2 linked regions of the Xenopus tropicalis genome follow. The protein of the gene in region 2 purifies or fractionates together with the protein of the main gene of each other region. This does not show direct contact. Links are inferred from orthologs where the notes say so. Each region holds a gene or a part of one and is shown on either strand. Other genes may lie near its edges. The genes, in order: glycerol-3-phosphate acyltransferase 3 and slc6a15.

Region 1 (3,827 bases), on a different chromosome or scaffold from region 2:
ATAAAAATATATGAAAATTCTGAAAAATCAGCGAAAAGCTTTGTTTACAGTATCATCTTCTGCAAGTGACACAAGGTAACACTACTTAAGGTGGCCATACTTAGGCCAATTGTAGCTGCCAATATCGGTCCCTTGGACTGATTCGGCAGCTTATCAGCCCGTGTAGGGGCAGGAACAAGGGGCATGCCCGACCGATATCTGGCCTGAAATTGGCCAGATATCGATCGGGCAGGTTAAAAGATTTAGTCGGATCGGGGACTGCATCGGCTCGTTGATGCGGTCCCCAAACCAACTGCCCCATTGCTGCCATTATAATTCGATCGTTTGGCCCTGGGGCCTACATGTTCCCCGATATCGCCCACCCGTGTAAGCCCACCCGTGTAAGCGAGCGAATCTTCACGTGTATGGGCACCTTTATAAGTTTCTTCACTAACACTATCCAAAATCCAGCTGCACAAATGGCACCCTCAGTAAACAGTTGTCCTTGGTGCCTGGTCTGATGGTGATAATGCAGTACAACTAAACATGCAATGTGTTTGCTGAAAATTATCAAAGGGTTCTTCTCTAGTCCTAGGGGCTGATTTACTAAGACATGATTTCGAATCCGAATTGGAAAAATTCCGATTGGAAACGAACATTTTGCGACCTTTTCGTATTTTTTGCGATTTTTTCGGCGTCTTTCCGATTTTTGCGTAAAAACGCGTGTTTTTCGGCGTCTTTCCGATTTTGCGTAAAAACGCGAGTTTTCCGGCGTCTTTACGATTTTTGCGTAAAACGTGAGTTTTTCGGCGTCTTTATGAAAGTTGCGCAAAGTCGCGATTTTTTCGTAGCGTTAACACTTGTGCGCAAAGTCGCACCTTTTTCGTAGCGTTAAAACTTAAAAGGCGCGACGTTTCACGCAAGTTTTAACGCTACGAAAAAATTGCGACTTTGCACAACTTTCGTAATGGCTACGAAAAACTCGCGTTTTTACGCAAAAATCGTAAAGACGCCGAAAAACTCGCGTTTTTACGCAAAATTCGTAAAGACGCTGAAAAAAATCGCAAAATTACCGATCATTACGAAAAAAACGCAATCGGACGCATTCGGCCCGTTCGTGGGTTAGTAAATGTGCCCCCTAGTGTAGCTTTCGCGACCACCAACTTTCTGTAGCTGTGTCTGAATTTGAATATTGCCTGTGCTTGCAGTGTAGCTCCTAATGTGCTCTCCCCACTGTGCAGCAGCTGTTTCACTTTTCTGTCCTCACTATGTGTTACCCTAAGGTAGTGTGTAGCTTGGGAAGGTCAGGGGTGTATTTAGGTACTGTGCTGACATAGGCACCAGAGCTAATTACGCTCCTACATTGTGTGCGATATCACCGGCACGGGGTGCTTGACGTCACATGTGCTGACATCAAGCGCAGCGTATGTGTGCCATCACTTCCCCGAAGCCACCAACCACCAACTCCCCACACCCCCCAGCTCTGTCACTGGATTTTCTATAGAAATTCTGAGGGCATTATTTTTTGATTAAAAAAAAAATCAAACTATATATATATGTATATTTCTAGTTTTCATTTCCCTTTACCTTATCAGAATTATACTTAAAATGTAGCACTTAATAAAAAGTCAAAAGCACCTTAAACTGAGCAATGAAAGAATTTGTGAATCATTTTAGAGTAGTTAATAGTAAAGGGAACCTACAAAAATTCCCTTAGGAAGCCCATGGGTAATGCACCTTCCCATTTAGGAAATGGAATAGTCTTTATGTTTATTTTTAAAATGTTTAGAGCCCTGTTTAGAGCTTTAAATAACAAAAAAAACACAGGTTTTACCTATTTTTTATATTATGAAACAAATATGTTCAGCTATATGACTTTATCATTAAACTGGTGATATAAAAAGGTATACTGTATTGTAATACAATTATTGCTAGTTTGCAGATTAACACCATTGGGCAAGCATGGAGGGGAATCTTGCAGTAAGAAAATGTAAAAAACAGCTTTTACCCTAAATTCATATAATCCTTTTGTAGTAATATGTATTGCAGTCAATGGACCTTCTATTGATGGATCAGTTGGTGAATCTAAATTAACTTTTTAATATAATAAAGTTTTCTGAGACAATCTGCAATTGGTTTTTATTTTTTGTGTGTGTTTTTTTTCTGGTATTTAGCTTTTTGTTTATCAGCTCTCCAGTTTGTAATTTCAGCAGCTGTCTGGTTGCTAGGGCCTGGTTTACCTTAGCAACCAGCCAGTGGTTTAAATGAGAGACTGGAATATGAATAGGAGAGGGCCTGACTAGAAAGATGAGCAATTAAAAGTAACAATCATTTTTGGCTATCAGGGGCAGATGTAGAAGTGGAAGGGAAATAATTCAAAAACTATAAAAAACAAAGAAGACCAGTTACAGAATTGCTAGGAACAGAAAATTCAAAATTGCTAGGAACAGAACATTACTAAAAGTTAATTTAAAATTAATTTAAAGGTGAGCCACCCCTTTAACTATATAATCCTCTTTTGATTGCTCTGATAATTCACATTTATCCTTTGAAGCCTTATATGTTATATTGTGTCATTTTATGATTCATTGGTTTTTAAATTTATTAATAAATGTTAAGTTTTAACTAACTGTTCTAATCACATGGTTCTGATTTGTATGTGAATGGAAAGGTGCATTATTAAGGGAACTCTTGTAGGCCCCTTTTTTCTAGAATTATACTTTATGTATATCTTCAGATACAGAAAATGTAACATCCCTAAAATATTACATCTGATGAACTATCACCAACAAACATATAAGGGTTCATTTGATATATCCTTTGCAGTGTGCAAATGAGCTCTCTAGTCTATATAATGAGATAAATTTGCTATAAGCCTTTAAGATATGTAAGCAAATGCAACAATGGAAATACATCCTCCTTTTTGTTTCTGCCTACCAAGGTATTATACAGAGAGATCAGTCCCCAATGGAGACAGAGATTGGAGGCTTGAGAAAAAGTAGGAGTCAGGACATACAGCAAGGAGACTTTGAACTTGGGGATGTCTTCTATTTTGCAAAGAAGGGATTTGAAGCTATTGTTGAAGATGAGGTCACTCACAGGTTTTCCTCAGAAGAACTCATCTCTTGGAACCTTCTTACTAGGACCAACAACAACTTTCACTATGTCAGTCTCCGAGTCACACTCATCTGGGTGCTGGGATTATTTGTGCGCTACTGTATTCTTCTGCCTTTACGGTAAGATTGTGAAAGTTAGACCAGGTTTGGTAAACTCCTATATGCATGTAGCACAGTGCTGTCCAACTTCTGCGGTGCCGAGGGCCGGAATTTCTCTCGGGCCGCTAATGGAAGCCAGTTTGGCCACTCCCCCATTTTAAACCACACCCACTTCAAACCACACCCATTTTATCACAATGGTCGCTGCAGGGATATCAACCATCATTCATATGTTAAAGAATTATATTATGTCATATTAAGACAAACACTTAAATCCATATGCCTTCTCCTCCCCTGTGGATAGCACAGCAACCCCCAGCATATAATTACACACCTTAGGGACCATTTAATTGCTATTTCCAACTGCTAACAAACTCCCAGAACAAACCCCTGCCAGGTTCACCTCCCACAGGCAGCATAGGGTAGGCAGAGTATGGCACACACAGGCAGCACTCTGCCTGTCCTATGCTGCCTGTGTGTACCATACTCTGCCTGTCCTATGCTGCCTGTGGGTGCCATACCCTCCCTTCCCTATGCTGCCTATGTGCCATACTCTGCCTACCCTATGCTGCCTACACACAGGCAGCATAGGCCAGGCAGTACATACAATGTCTGAGGTGTGAAGAGGTGAAC
Region 2 (3,827 bases):
ACATAGCAATACCTTTTCTGCAATCCATGCATAGTAGCCTGGCGGACTGAATCCCATCTGAACTATACTTGCCATAAGAAGAATAGTTAACAAGACAGGAGAGATGTATTTCCACATATAGTAATAGTATTTGTATGGGGTAAAACCTAGCATGTCCTTTAAATCATCCATGAATCTGAAAGAGAATGAAGTAAAGACACTGATATAAAGTAGTTGTCTGGGCTTTGCTAGATTATTCAGTCAGTATGACCACTTGATCATTAAGGCCCATTATTCATTAAATATACATCTAAATTAAAATGTATTAAAGGAGTTAGGGCTACATAAAATGGTAAGGAATGTGATACTAATGGGCCTATTTGTTAAGTCATGTAAATGGAATGGTAGTAAAAACTAGGTGTAAAATGGCATCTTTATAAAGCTTTGTATGTCAAGCTGTCAATAATGTCCTCTGAAATCATCTGTTAAAAAGAACTAGTTTAGACAATTAGAAAGGTGAGTTGAATAAAATTCCCAGTACTTACTTGTCTATGCCATATACCCAAGCAATTGCAACATTCTCTAAAATGACCACAATCAGCAGTGGTAATGTAGCAGAATAGTCATCAAACATCGTAACAAAGTAATTTCCTGACCTCTGTACAAAGAGTAGGCCAATGCAGAATGCAAGCAGGCAGCATCCAACTGGAATAAAAAAAAGAAAAAGACAAAACAAAAAAAACATTTTTTTTATAACGTATTTTGCAGTAGTTTGCTTATCCCTGTTCATTTAGGGAAGTACCGAATCCCAAGGATTGGGTTCTGGACTAAATCTTTAGAATTTGAGTACCAAACCCTAAATATCAGGTGCTTTTAAAGCCCTAGATAATAGGAGACAACATTTTTTTAATATTTTTTGCTGGAATTTTCCTTTAATATGAATATACTAGTTATAGATGGTTCACTATTCAGGATTTGTTGCATGGCAAAAAAAGATGGCTTTAATGTTTCTCTAATTGTTGTTAAATGGAAAAATATGATATAATTGAATTAATATGGGTACATAAATAGCTAAATAACTCAGTGTCTTCTTACAAAACACAGCCTATGTCCTAAGATACAACACTATGCAAATATAACGCGTTAACAATTTATAATACGAGCTTACCAGTGAGTGGTTCCTTCCGTACTTTAAATGTATCAACAATGGGAGTTATAATGCCTTCAATAGTTCCAAACATGCTGCCAAGGCCCAAGTTCACTAACATGAGAAAAAACATCACTGACCAAAAAGGAGAAGCAGGAAAATGTGTCATAGCTTCAGTGAAGGCAATAAAAGCCAACCCAGTCCCTTGGACTGACTGAAAGACAAGGAGAAATTAAAAGTGTGTTAACACCCAAAAATACTCACGCAATAATGTTCATTTTCTTAATTTATGACAATTTTCCTTTTGACTAATAAATATAAATTACAGTATTTTAAGTCCCTGATTGACTCATGTAGTTGTTACCCATTCCTTTTAACACCTACAAATATGGTCTGCACTGGGATACAAAATAGGCCCTGGTATTTTATGTACACAGAGGCTCATACAGCCCCCACCAGTAGTGATGAGCAAATTTTTCCACCAGGCATGGATTCACAGCAAATTTCGGCATTGGCGAATTGTTTTGCATAACTTCCGTGAAAATTCCCAGTGGAAAAATTAGTTGCGCGTCAAATTGGGTGCGGTCGTGTAAAAAAAAAAAGCTTGGCGACAAAATAAAGATGCAGGCGTCAAAAAAGACACGGGCGACAAAAAATCGTGCAACAAATTCGTTTCATGAATTTTTCAGGGACAGATTTACTCATTACTACCCACCAGCCCACTAAATAGTGACTGTCTATGGCATATATAAGAGGCAGCCTATTTCTTCTGGCCTGAGACCACACAGTCATCTATACTGGCTGGTATCTGGGTGTAGAGGTTAAAGTGACTTTGAAACTGCAAACACCTTAGCACTAATGTGAATTAAATGAATTATATCTTGGAAAAATCCAAACTTCTCCTTCATGCAATCAGTTGTGATGGTTGCACATAAAAGAGAATCTGATACTATAACAACACTCAAAACCCACTGCTTATTTGAAACAAATGAATCATTGTGGTGGCTGTTTCAGTAATAAAATAACTGCATTTAAACAAACCGGTACATTTGCATTGGTTGACTAGAACTACATTACAACCATAGCAACATTTTACTCTATAGAACAAATTTAATATGGTTAATATGGTGCTTCTCCTGAAAACCTACTGCTGTGATTGCCAGTGCTCTATTCATAAGAGGCAGGCTAGGCTAGGCTAGACACCCCTATTTTGCAAGTCATTCAGACACACACAAGTTAGGAAGCAATAACAGACACAAGACACAGCAGATTTAGTGCAAGATGCAAATACAGCACTAAGGGGTGATTTTGCACCACTCTGTTTTGTAGCACTAGCTAGAGAACAAAGTAAGACTCTCGCTGTAACCAGCCTTGTTACCTTAGCGCAAGAGGGCCAAATGCTTGGCACAAGCAGGCAAATTAGTGCTGCTGTTTCCTGTACTGTAATGAAAATGTGAAGGTTACCTTGTTAAGCTCATCTTCTATCTGACAGGAGTCCAGCCCTAGGCTGTCAAATTCTTCTTCTTTTATTTTCTGAAATATGTAATAGACCAGGTTATAGTCCTGTGCTGACATACTTGAGAAATTGACATGATGTGGAACATTACTCCAGCTGAGATTGCCAGCTTCTAAATATTTCACAATCTTGACTGTGTTTCTGAAACAAAGCAAATCAGTAATTAGTGGCTTTGCGGGGAACGTTCCTTAACACAAGAAAAAAGTATTAGCATCTTACTTGGAAATGCAGTTCTCGTTCATAATATTTGCCTTGAATCCTAACACGGCAAACACCACTAGTGTTGCCAGGACAGAGGTGAAAAAGTTAATAAAGGACACCAGGACAGCATCAAAATGACAGTTGTTGTCCCTTTTGTTGTAGCTTGAAAAGGCAATGACTCCTCCGAATCCCAGGCCAAGCGCAAAGAACACCTGAGTGGCAGCTTCTCGCCAGACTTTGGGCTCAAGCATTATTTCAAGCTGAAACCAAATATACAAACTTAATCTCAACTCGTCAGCAACTTTTACTTTTTCAACAAATTTTCTCAATAAAATTGATTCCAGTATATGACTGGTAACTGACTTTTCAGGTCCCTCCGTCCAACAAGGGAGCTTTACTAGCTTACTTCATAAATTTAAAGTACATTCCAAGTTCTGATGAAACCCATCTCTAAATATAATATTCCCTGCACAGTGCTGGCATATGCATCCCATGACTACTATGGCAAGCACCATGACTACTATGGTCTCCAAACTGAGCATCATCACTTCTACTACCACTTTACAGCAAAACCCTGCACCAGATATTTTACTAAAACTATTTATTAGTTATTAGAAGGAGCAAATGACTATTAAAATAGATGGGTTACCCCCTGCTCCAATAGGGAACACTCCAACCTTGGGTAGCACATTTCTCAATTCTTTCTGGTTCTTCAAGGTGTTTGAGGTCTAAATAGAACTGCACTATTCTTTAGGAATAGTTTAGGTTTAGGCTTTTTTTGCCTTAGAACTTCTGTTCACCGTGCTGCCTATAAACTTTTGATAGGTGAAATAGAATAATGTAAATGTACATTTAAGAAAATAAGTAATTTAAGAATGTCTGTTTCATGCATCTTTATCCTTTTACATATACACATTTTGCCACAACTTTGATACTTTTTCCCTTAAATGCCACTTGCTCTTGCTGTCTGTATTTAGCATTGTT

What was found.
Region 1: the proteins of slc6a15 (region 2) and glycerol-3-phosphate acyltransferase 3 purify together in Homo sapiens (co-immunoprecipitation; 3 studies listed by BioGRID and IntAct, counting the BioPlex papers as one, with this or other methods). This does not show direct contact. The link is inferred for Xenopus tropicalis from reciprocal best matches to the Homo sapiens genes SLC6A15 and GPAT3.

The regions. Positions count from the first base shown.
Region 1 is NC_030677.2:85,544,767-85,548,593, forward strand, and holds part of glycerol-3-phosphate acyltransferase 3, read left to right. Parts: intron 1-2,920; coding exon 2,921-3,215; intron 3,216-3,827. UniProt on the Homo sapiens protein: Converts glycerol-3-phosphate to 1-acyl-sn-glycerol-3-phosphate (lysophosphatidic acid or LPA) by incorporating an acyl moiety at the sn-1 position of the glycerol backbone.
Region 2 is NC_030679.2:53,629,640-53,633,466, forward strand, and holds part of slc6a15 (sodium-dependent neutral amino acid transporter B(0)AT2), read right to left. Parts: intron 3,104-3,827; coding exon 2,862-3,103; intron 2,784-2,861; coding exon 2,591-2,783; intron 1,341-2,590; coding exon 1,148-1,340; intron 685-1,147; coding exon 525-684; intron 176-524; coding exon 13-175; intron 1-12.